Callithrix jacchus: one gene and its partners. The protein of the gene in region 3 purifies or fractionates together with the protein of the main gene of each other region. This does not show direct contact. Links are inferred from orthologs where the notes say so. Each region holds a gene or a part of one and is shown on either strand. Other genes may lie near its edges.

Region 1 (3,651 bases), on a different chromosome or scaffold from region 3:
AAGAAAAGCTTCAATGTTAACAGGGATATTTCAACATCTTAATTCAACTCGAAACAGTCCTGATAACTATTTTACTTAAAAGGGCTGGCTCTAAGTTTGGTATTCCAGAAACTCTCAGAAGACACACAACGGTAATAACTTCCTAGGCTAGCTCACAAAAGCCTGTAAGAATAATTATCAGTATAAAATGTGGAAAATATGTACAGCATGGAATACTACTTAGTCATAAAAATGAATGAAATTATGTATTTTGCAGTGACTTGCATGGAGCAGAAGGTCATTATTCTGCATGAAGTAATTCAGGAATGAAAAGTCAAATACCATATGTTCTCATTTGTAAGTGGGAGCTAAGCTATGGGTATGCAAAGGTACGTAGAGAAATATAATGGACACTGGAGACTCAGTAGGCAGAGAGTGGGAGACGGGTGAGGGATTAAAAAAAAACTACATATTGGGTACAATGTACACTACTCAGGTGACAGGTGCAGTAAAATCTCAGACTTCACCACTATACAATTCATCCATGTAGCCAACAACCACTTGTATCCCAAAAGCTACTGAAATATTTAAAACTGTGAAAAAAGAGTAATTATCAATAGGATTACTGAGATAATTGCCTATGTAACAAGAGCGCTTTCACATATATCTTGCTTTTCACAATAGCCCTGTCAAAGGAGGCCTTATTCTTATTACACAGATGACTAAAACAGACCTGGAGAGTTGAAATCATTTGCCAACCATCACAGAGACAGAGGGCGGCAGAACCTGGACTTGAGTCTGGATTTACCAATGCCGCATGAGTACAGTTCCCACCTCACCAGTAGCATACATAACGTAGTACTGATAATGCTATTTTGATTTCTTCTGTAAACTGTTCATAAAGTATTCCATTAGAAAAAGATGGTTGTTTTAGTTGGGAGATTTAAGGAGCACCTCTTCCCATCAATCACCTGGATAGTGAAATGGGGAAGGCAGAGCTGAGACTATCGGGAACAGTGGCAAAAAAGGTAGGGAGGGAGATGGTCCTAGGCACTTGTAACTTTTGTTTATTTTTATTTATGTTTTTCCTTATTATATAAACCATACATGCACACCACAAACTTCTAATTCTTTTTATTTGCACAGGTTAAGATCTTCTATTAAAAACAGTGAATCTCCAGGTGCTCTAAATGAGAAGACAGAGACCCAGACATAGTCCCCAAGTATTGCCACAGCAGGCACGCCTTGCTGCAGAAAGCGTGCCTTCATATTACTCCAGAGAGCAATCAAGAAACTGTTTGATAAAACAAAACGCTACTAAAAATTCACTGTTGCGTTATCCCATACAAAGGTTGTTTGAGTGATCATCTCTCCATTTGACTAATTTGACTTGGCAGTACAGAACCCCCACATAGCACTGCTCTCCCAGCCCATCTGGAGTGGTAATTAGCACAACCAGGAGAATTTAACTTACAGCCCTTTGCTCTGTCATTTGCATGCCATCCTTTCTACCAGCTATTATCAACTGATTGATAAAGGTCACATTTTATTCATAAAATTTTTTAGAGACAAATAAATTTAACTTACAGATTCATGAAACAAATAGTCTTAAGCCTACTAATCCTTTAAGATCTGTCAGCAAGGAAATCAAATCACAGACTATGTGACTATTATATTAGTCTTAAATATCTGCCATTCAGCCAATGAGCAACAACTGCTTTTCCATGTACAATATCCAGGAGGATCTATGCTTACTGAAAGCTCATGATAGTGTCGTACTCTTTTGGGGGTAGCTGCTAGGGTTATTAAGGGCCAGTAAGTGATGCCTACCTCCATCCAAGCTGCGAGACATGGTATAACGTTTGCTGGACGAGCGCTCAAAGTAAGGCGCTGGGCGATCTATCAACGCACTGGCTCTTCTCGTTTGTGCTTGTGTCCTGCCACTATAACGAAACTTGGAACCCAAGGTTAGGAATTTCTTGGGAGGTGCTTCTGGTAACAACAGTCTAGAGAGAATACAGAAAAAGAGCAGAAAGACTGCTAAGTCCAATAAAGAGAATGCTTTTTAAACTTTATACTCTGCGAGTTCATGTGTTTTGTGTGCTTAAGGTTTAACACACAACTTGCAGTTAAATAAATATGATTTCATTAAAAAAATGCACATGATATACATCAACTAGGGATGTTGTAGAGAGGATATATAAAAATTAGGGTTGTACTAAACTAGAGGAACTTTTAACATTCCATGCAAAGTGGACAGTCTATGGTTCTATAAGACCAAACAGCAACTAAGTAGGCGATATTAGTGAAGAAGAGTGATAATTTGCTATTGGATGTCTAATTTGATGGGTCTCACACTATGTGTAGGTAAGTAAAGAGAGACAGGGTATTGAGAAATCACTGAAATTGTAAGGAATTGAAATAGAAATGGATTGGCTATTTGAAGTGGACACTCTAAAAACAATGTAAACACACTAAAGATAAGAAGTGGGGGAGGTGGGACATGTAAGTACTTGACAAATTAAGGAAAATCCTTCAAATTTAGTCTTTTTCTAATTCTGTTAGGATTTCTTATCAAGAAATATGGTGAGAATGAACTTGAAGGAATAGTAAGGATAAAATTCCTTATTTCTCTTCCTGATAATCTTTTTCAGTATAAGTGATTATAATTATTCCTTAGGGAAAAATCAAAATAATCTCTTCCTACCTGAAAAATGTATGATGCTCAACACAAACTTTCCATAAACGCTTGGCCGCTCGATGGTTTGGCAGCTTAAACCCAATGGTGCTTTCAAATTGTTCAAACTAAATTAAAAAAAATACATTGAAGAGTAAAGTTTAAAATTATGAATAACAGAAGCCCTGTAAATAACTTATAAAATCATAATGCCACCAGAATTTTAAAAATTTACTAACTAGATCAATTGCTATATGCATAATTCATGCTATACACATTCACTAATTTTAAAAAAATGTGCCTTTAAAATGCTGCAGGTATAAATAACCATATTATGTATGCAGTAAAATGTCTTAAGTGTGTATCTTATGATACAACTAAAAACTAAACACAAAAAGGGTTTTTTTGATTTCTTCCAGAAATCAATTTTGCACTTTTAAACTTTTCATGGTTTCTCAATGACACAATGACTTCAACTGGAAGTTACAGAAATGAACAAAATGTTTACAGATATAGTCTACAGTATTCTTAGAAATGACATTTTTCTCCTAATATCTGGTCAGGAAATATATATATTTCTTAGGTAGTTGATGACTTGGTATCAGAGATTGCTGATTTTATTTGTGTATTCCATTATGGATTTTCAGTTTAAATGCTAATGTTTCTCTATATCATGCCTAAGACCACAGATTGGGGGAACACACTTTCATATTTTTCAGCATGTACATTTCAGATGATGATTTGTCAGCCATTTGATTTTTTGAGGTTAAATACTCATCTCATTTCCTGCATAATATACTTTATTATTGCAGACATACAAGTTTTCATATTCTGAAGAAGGTACACAGACCACCAGAGGGCAATCATCTTAAACAGCAAAGGCTTTCCAAAAGAGCAAACAAATGAACTACTGCTATAATCAATAGTAAAAATAATTTATGTAGCAAAGAACCAAGATGAGGGGTCATATGCGCAGCATGTGAGATACAATCATG
Region 2 (3,651 bases), on a different chromosome or scaffold from region 3:
ACTATGTTAGCCAGGCTGGTCTTGAACTCTTGACCTTGTGATCTGCCTACCTCGGCTTCCCAAAGTGCTGGGATTACAGGTGTGAGCCACCGTACCCAGTCATACTTTACTTTTTTTAAATGCAAAAATAGTACATAAAAAATAGGGAATGTGTATGATTTAAAAGGTAAACTATAATGTTTGGAAGGGAATGCAGTGCAACATTTAAGTTTCCTTCCTATTTTAGACCTTAGTTTTCCAGGTCTTTTCCCTACAAGTAGTAGTTTTATATGTATTCCTCCATAGGTAACCTCAGCATGTGCAAATTTATATGTTTATGTAACCTTTTTGTAAACATGTACTGGACTTTGTTTTTGCTTTTTCTTTTTTTTTTGGAGACAGTCTTGCTCTTGTCGCCCAGGCTGGAGTGCAATGGCACAATCTCAGCTCACTGCAACCTTTGCCTCCCTGGTTCAAGGGATTCTCCTGCCTCAGCCTTCCAAGTAGCTGGGATTACAGGTACCCGCCACCACGCCCAGCTAATTTTTGCATTTTTAGTAATGACAGGGTTTCGCCATGTTGGCCAGGCTGGTCTCAAACTCCTGACCTCATGATCCACCTGCCTTGGCTTCTCAAAGTGCTGGGATTACAGGTGTGAGCCACTGTGCCCGCTTTTTTTTTTTTTTTTAATGTAATTTTGCATTTTTGGGGTGAGGGGGCAGGAGATGAAGTGTTATTCTGTTGCCAGACTGGTGTGCAATGGTGCGATCTTGGCTCACTGTAACCTCCACCTCCTGGGTTCAAGTGATTCTCTTGCCTCAGCCTCCCGAGTAGATGGGACTACAGGTGCGTGCCACCACACCCAGCTAAGTTTTGTATTTTTAGTAGAGACAAGGTTTTACCATGCTGGCCAGAATGGTCTCAATCTTTTGACCTTGTGATCTGCCTGCCTCGGCCTCCCAAAGTGCTGGGATTTCAGGCATGAGCCACCTCGCCCATCCTGTTTTTGCTTTTTATAACCTAGGGTTCCTTTCAGCAGTACATAAAGATCTATATCATTGTTTTTATGGTTGCATATTATTCTATTAGATATGTATACTATAATTTATCTAACATCCCTCACCTCCCTATGATGAACATTTAGGTTTAAGTTTCTTCCATACTTCTTATTAAGATAATTGTGGTCATGTATATATAGCTATGCAGTGTTTAACTGTATCTGTGGGACACATTCCTAGAAGTTACCTCTTTAATATTAGTAAATATATTTTATTGTTTTGCGAGTATAACAGGAATTTTTCCCTACTCCTTTAGAAAGAAGCCTAAGAAGAGAGAAAATGGGATTGGATGTAGAAGGTCAATGCGATTACTAAAAGCTGATCCTTCAGGAGTTTTATTACCAGCAACTCCAGTACCACCGGCATTAGTAGCAGATGAAACTGTAAGAAAATGTGCAAATACAGTATATTACTTAATAAAATACTGAAAAATTTGAAGTGTTGAAAGTAGACCAAAAGTTCATTAGATTATGTTTAATTTTATATTTCATTTTTGAATTTTTTTTTTTGAGACGGAATCTTGCTCTGTTGCCCGGGCTGGAGTACAGTAGCATGGAACCCCCTCCTCTCAGGTTCAAGTGATTCTCCTGCCTCAGCCTCCCGAGTATGTGGGATTACAGGTGCATGCCATTATACCTGGCTGATTTTTTATATGTTTGATAGAGACGGAGTTTCACTATGCTGACCACATTGGTCTTGTACTCCTGACCTCAATTTATCCACCTGCCTTGGCGTCCCAAAGTGCTGGTATTACAGGTGTGAGCCACTGCGCCTGACTTGTTACGGATTAATGAGTAAGATTTCAAAGTCATAAAGACTGGATTGGATTCTGTATTTCTGCAGGGCTTACCAGCTGTAGGATTGTGGGTGAGTTAATTAACCTTTCTGATCATTTCCCCATTTAAAAAATGTCAGCAATAATAGAACTCTCAGTAAATATGTACAATTTTATGTCAGTTAAAAAAAAAAAAAGAAACCTCCGCTAGGCGTGGTGGTTCATGCCTATAATCCCAGCACTTTGGGAGGCCGAGGTTGTCAGATCATGAGGTCAGGAGTTTGAGACCAGCCTGTCTGGTATGATGACACCTGTCTCTACTGAAAAATACAAAAATATTAGCTGGGTGTGGTGGCACACACCTGTAGTCCCAGCTACTTGGGTGGCTGAGGCAGGAGAATCAATTGAACCTGGGAAGTGGAGATTGCAATGAGCCAAGAACATGCCACTGCATTCCATCTTGGTTAACAGAGTAAGACCCTGTCTCAAAATAAAAAGAAACCTCTAAAGAGCTATTGTGAGCATAAATGAAATCATATCTGTAAAGTTTCTCACATTGTATTAAGGTCTTAGTAATCAATAAACTAGTTATTAATGTTAATTTTAATGAGTAGCATTTTATTTAGCAAACTTATTGTCTAAAATTTTTTTTTTATTCAAGAACACCTATTTTTTAATATTTTATATCTAAGCATTTAATTGTAAATAGGAAAGTGGCACTAATTAGGCTGGTGCTTTCGGAGCAAATTGCAAATCTAGGTGTTATGGGAAGCAGCATAGAAGAATAGCTTTCACATTTTTTTGAAGCCTCAGCCCACAATAAATATATTTATGGCCAGGTATAGTGGCTCATGCCTGTAATCCTAGCACTTTGGGAGGCTGAGGCAGGACAATCACTTGAGCCCAGGAGTTTGAGACCAGCCTAGCCAACATAAAGAGACCCTGTCCTTACAAAAAATACAAAAATTAGCTGGGTGTAGTGGCATGTGCCTATAGTCCCAGATCCTCAGGAGGCTGAGGTGAGAGCATCATGTTGTTTAGGATGGTCTCAAACTCCTGGCCTCAAGAGATTTGCCTACCTTGGCCTCTGAAAGTGCTGGGATTACAGGCATGAGCCACCACACCTGGCTGGTATTTCTATTTTATTCTCATTCACTGAAACAAATTGCTAGTTGCGACATATTAACATGATTTCTCACCCATTTATGTGTTACAAACTGTGTTTAAAAAAATACTATCCCCCCTCCCAAAAGAAAAAAATATTATCCCCTCCCACAAGGTAGGAGCTCCCTCCCAGATTTCCCCTCTGGAATCCCCTTCCACACTTTTCATGGAAGCCTTTCTCTACTCCTTTCCTTCTCTTCTTTCTACCTAAATAAAATCACCTTTCTGCAACAACAACAACAACAACAACAAAATACTAATGTGGTATACTCAGTATAATACTGAGTAATGAGTTAAGATAATCTGAATCAATTCTCAGCTTCTTTAGTTATTGGCTCTGTGGCTTTGGGCAAGTTAACTTCCCTAAGTTTGAATTCGGTGTCTTTAAAATGTGATACCTCATTCACTATGTTGTTGAGAGGATTTAATGAGATAATACATGTTATTATTACTTTATAGGGTACCTGACATTCATTTATGGAACAATTATTTTGAATGTCTATGATATGCCACCATTAATTGCTGATGTAGAAAGTGAAGTTGTAGAAAAACAGACAAATACCCTTGTCCTCCTGTGTTTACATTCTAGGGCAGGGAGACCAACAAAAAACTTTTTATTTTTTATAACAGCCTTTGTTACCTCCTGGGCCTTTAGAAATGACTTCTGAAAATCAA
Region 3 (3,651 bases):
GATGAGCTTCCCTCCCCCGTCCAGAGGCCAGACCCATTCCCCTAGCTGTCCCACCTTCAGCTTCTGCTGCTGCACCTTGCTGGCTTGGTCAGAGTCAGCCAGTTTCTTACTCAGTTCTTCCACCTGGGGAGGGAAGAGGAGGACAGGAGACTCAGGGGTTTCCCAGACCAGGATCCTTAGTGTTCCTAGAAGAAACTCAGGCCCTTTTTCTGGCCTCTATTAGGGAACAGCCTGCTGCCCAGGCTGGTTGGCAGGGCCTGAATGAGGCGACCTAACATAGATGTTGCTAGGGCCACCTGTCCATATTCGTCTCTACCCTTAGCCTGCAGAGACAGAGGCCTGCCCGACCCGTGTCACCCCCACCACCACCCTGCTGCTGCCACCACTCCACAGTGGCAACCTTCCCAGATTCTAGTCTGTAATTCTAGCAGACATAATCAATTCCCATACTTCCCTCCCAGAAACTGCCAAAGCCCAAGCCCACAGATGCTCAGACCTCTTTCCAACATCCACAGGCCGTTAGGGCTGGTGCTAGCAGCGTGGCTGCTGTGGTTAGCATTGGGGGAACAGATTGCTGGAAGACAAGAGCAGGGGCAGCACACGTACTCCAAAGCCCACCCCACTCCCACAGAGGAAGAGCACAGGGAGGTAGGGGAAGAGGGAGAATATAGCCCCACGCATCCCTGGCTGCTCTAAGCATTCTGGGAGTTCAAGCATGACTGGGCAGCACAGGGGAGAGGCAAGGGCTCCATTGCCAACTGTTTGCTGTTCACTTTGATTGTCCCCCATTATCTCAGGCTCCTTAGAGGAAGAGGAGTGCCCAATTTTTCAGCAGTCCTGGGGTGGCTGGGTAGGAGAATGATGGAGAAAGGGTGCTCTCACTAACGCCAGCTCAACAGCCTCGATGTCTCAGGCAACACAGAGATCCCCATGAGAAAGAGGCAGCCAGACCATGTGACTCCCACTTCCCCGTCCCCATCTGGTGTAGGCCCTTCCTGCTCCAGACATCTCTATGCTGTGCTCAGAGTTAGAGCCCCAGAAAGTGATGGGCAAGTGTCTTGAGCCTATAATCCTAACCCGTGGGGGCTGCCTTGCTTATCACCTTCAAGGCTTCCATAAAGCCATACTCTGGGCAAAAGGGTACCAGGTTAAACAAGGCCCACAGGTAATTCTGCTGTTCCTCTTAGTGGAGTATTCTTAACTGGTCACAGGACTTGGGAAGTTTGGGAATCCCAAGGACTGTGTCCGTCATTGGTTCAGGTGTGGGAAAGATGAAGCCAGTGCCACCCCTTGTCCCTGACAGGCAGATGAGAGAAGGTGCAGAAGGGTGGAGAGGCCGACCTGGGACGGGTGGGATGAGGCCCGAGAGAGAGCCCAGAACACCGCACTCCTGGGCAGCCTGGGCCTGGATTCCATGGCTTGACCCTGCCCCCTTCACAAACAGTTCACAACAGGAGCTGGTGGAGGCAAGCTGCAGCCGGGCTCATGCACTGAGACTGGTCACCGTTTAAGCAGCCAGCATTTAGCGAGGACCCCAGGCATTACCTGCTTAGTTTGCTCTCTCTGAAATATCTCTAGCTGCTCCACCTGTACATGGGGGAGGAGCAACGGAGACAGAGTGAGATGGGGCCAAACAGGCACCAGCCCTGCTGCCAGGCTCACCTCACTGAGGCCCTGATACTCTCCCCCAAGGAGCTAGATTGACAGTACGTTTAAAAATGCCAGTTAGGCTTATTCTAGTCCCTGGCAGCTCCTGAGGCATCCAGTGCAAGTGTGCCTCTGGAACGGGCTGGTGGTAATCTCAACTTGACTCTCTAGTGACAGAGCCTTCAGGGGAGGGGAGGCCACTGATATTTTCTTGAGGATGACAGGGGCAACAGACTTGAACTCCACCAGCCACCTCTCCTTTTCTGCCACCCAGTCAATGAGGAAAAGCAAGACACTCCAGTGTAGGAGCCAGAGGCCCTGGAACACAGAGGATGGATGTCCCCGCACTCTCAGCTCCTGATCTTTGGGGCAGTGGTTGGGCTGAGTACCTTACCTGGGCAGTGAGTTTCTGCCTCTCTTCCTGGAACCGCTGCCTCTCCTCCAGGACCTTGACCTTGGCACCCTCATACTTGGCAGTCATCACCTCCAGCTCCCGCGCAGTGCTCTGTGCTTCCCGCTGCACCTCAGCCAGACGGGTCTCAGCATCAGCACGCACGGCTGCCAACTCTTGGACATACTTCTCCCGGGCCTGGTCCAGCTCCACTTCCAAAAATTGCCGGCCAAGGTTGGCCCGCTCACCCAGCCCTCGGTTCTCCTCTGCCAGCAGGCCATGTGCTTTCTTCAGCATGCTCAGCTGTTCTGCATAGCTGGCCTTCTCTGCCCGCAGCTGCTGAGCTGTTCGCTCCTGCTCTGCCACCTTCTGTCGAAGAGGAATCAGCTCCCCAAGCTCCCGCTGGGCCCGCAGCAGTTCTGCCCGCAGCCCCCCAGCTGCCTGCTTGCTCTGCTCCAGCTCCTCGCGGTGGCGCTTCTCAGCAGCAGCCTGCTCGGCCTGGAGCTGCTGGCAGAGGTGCTTAGCAGGCAGCAGCTCACTCACCAGGGCCTGTGTGCTGGTGTGCTCGAGCTGCAGGGCGGAGAGGGCCTGTTCTTTCTGGAAGAACTTCTCCTGCCACGCCTTCAATTCTTGGCCCAGCTCCTCTGCACGCTCAGCTTGTGAGGTCAGCTCCTGCCGCAGGTTCTCTGAAGCCACCCGCTGTTTCTCGGCCTCCTCCCGGAGGCTCCGCACCTCCTCCCGCAGGGCAGAGCTGCGTTCTGCAGCTCTGGCACTGTTGCTAGCTGTCTCTGCCTGGAGCAGGTGCAGCCTCTCCTCCAGCTTCTTGCTCTTCTCTGACTCGGCCATCACCAGCCGCTTCAACTCCTTGCTCTCCCCTTCTTTCTCCAGGACCTGGCGATTCAGGATGGACACCTCCTCCTCCAAGCTGCTGATGAGGCTATTTTTCCTCTCAGCCTCCTGCCGGCCCCGGGCCACCTGGACCTTCCACTCATCCTCAGCCTTGCTGTGGTCTTGTGCCTTGGTGTGGAGGGCAGCCAGTTCTCTCTGGGCCGAGGCTAAGGCGCTCTGACTGTGTCCCAGCTCCTTGGCCTTCTCCTCTAACTGGCCCTGCAGAGTCTCCAGAGCATTGTCACACTCAGCCCGGGAGGCCCGCTCAACCTTGAGGCTGCATTCCAGGCTGTCGACCTGTTTCTGCTGCTGCTGGCACTGCTCCTCCAGCTTAATCACCTCTGCTCGCAGCGCCTCCAGCTTGGGGCCTGTTGGCTCTGTCCTGCCAGCAGCCTCAGACTGGACTCCCGAACCAGATGTGTGCTCCTTTTCTTTCTTAGCCAGCTGTTCCTTCAGTTGCTTCATGGTTTGCCGAAGCTCCTCCAGCTCTTTCATCTGGGCTGCCTCCAGGCCACGAAGCTTGGCCAACTCCTGGTCCTTGCCTTCCTTTTCCGTCAGGGCATGGGCCAGTGCCTCTTGCAGGGTAGCAAACTCCACACGCTGCTCATTGAGGGCGTTCTGCAGCCGCATCTCCAGCTCTGCTTTGGCCGCCTTCTCCAGGGCAAGATCAGCTTGGGCCCGGCCCCGCTCCTGGGTCAGCCGCGCCACCTCCCTCTCCTGCTGCC

What was found.
Region 1: the proteins of NUMA1 (region 3) and EPB41L3 purify together in Homo sapiens (affinity purification with mass spectrometry; 3 studies listed by BioGRID and IntAct, with this or other methods). This does not show direct contact. The link is inferred for Callithrix jacchus from reciprocal best matches to the Homo sapiens genes NUMA1 and EPB41L3.
Region 2: the proteins of NUMA1 (region 3) and WDR76 purify together in Homo sapiens (affinity purification with mass spectrometry; 3 studies listed by BioGRID and IntAct, with this or other methods). This does not show direct contact. The link is inferred for Callithrix jacchus from reciprocal best matches to the Homo sapiens genes NUMA1 and WDR76.

Annotation. Positions count from the first base shown.
Region 1 is NC_133514.1:57,792,562-57,796,212, reverse strand, and holds part of EPB41L3 (band 4.1-like protein 3), read right to left. Parts: intron 2,785-3,651; coding exon 2,687-2,784; intron 1,986-2,686; coding exon 1,810-1,985; intron 1-1,809. UniProt on the Homo sapiens protein: Tumor suppressor that inhibits cell proliferation and promotes apoptosis. Modulates the activity of protein arginine N-methyltransferases, including PRMT3 and PRMT5.
Region 2 is NC_133509.1:31,503,027-31,506,677, forward strand, and holds part of WDR76 (WD repeat-containing protein 76), read left to right. Parts: intron 1-1,293; coding exon 1,294-1,420; intron 1,421-3,606; coding exon 3,607-3,651. UniProt on the Homo sapiens protein: Specifically binds 5-hydroxymethylcytosine (5hmC), suggesting that it acts as a specific reader of 5hmC.
Region 3 is NC_133511.1:68,932,969-68,936,619, reverse strand, and holds part of NUMA1 (nuclear mitotic apparatus protein 1), read right to left. Parts: coding exon 2,042-3,651; intron 1,588-2,041; coding exon 1,546-1,587; intron 575-1,545; coding exon 497-574; intron 124-496; coding exon 55-123; intron 1-54. UniProt on the Homo sapiens protein: Microtubule (MT)-binding protein that plays a role in the formation and maintenance of the spindle poles and the alignement and the segregation of chromosomes during mitotic cell division.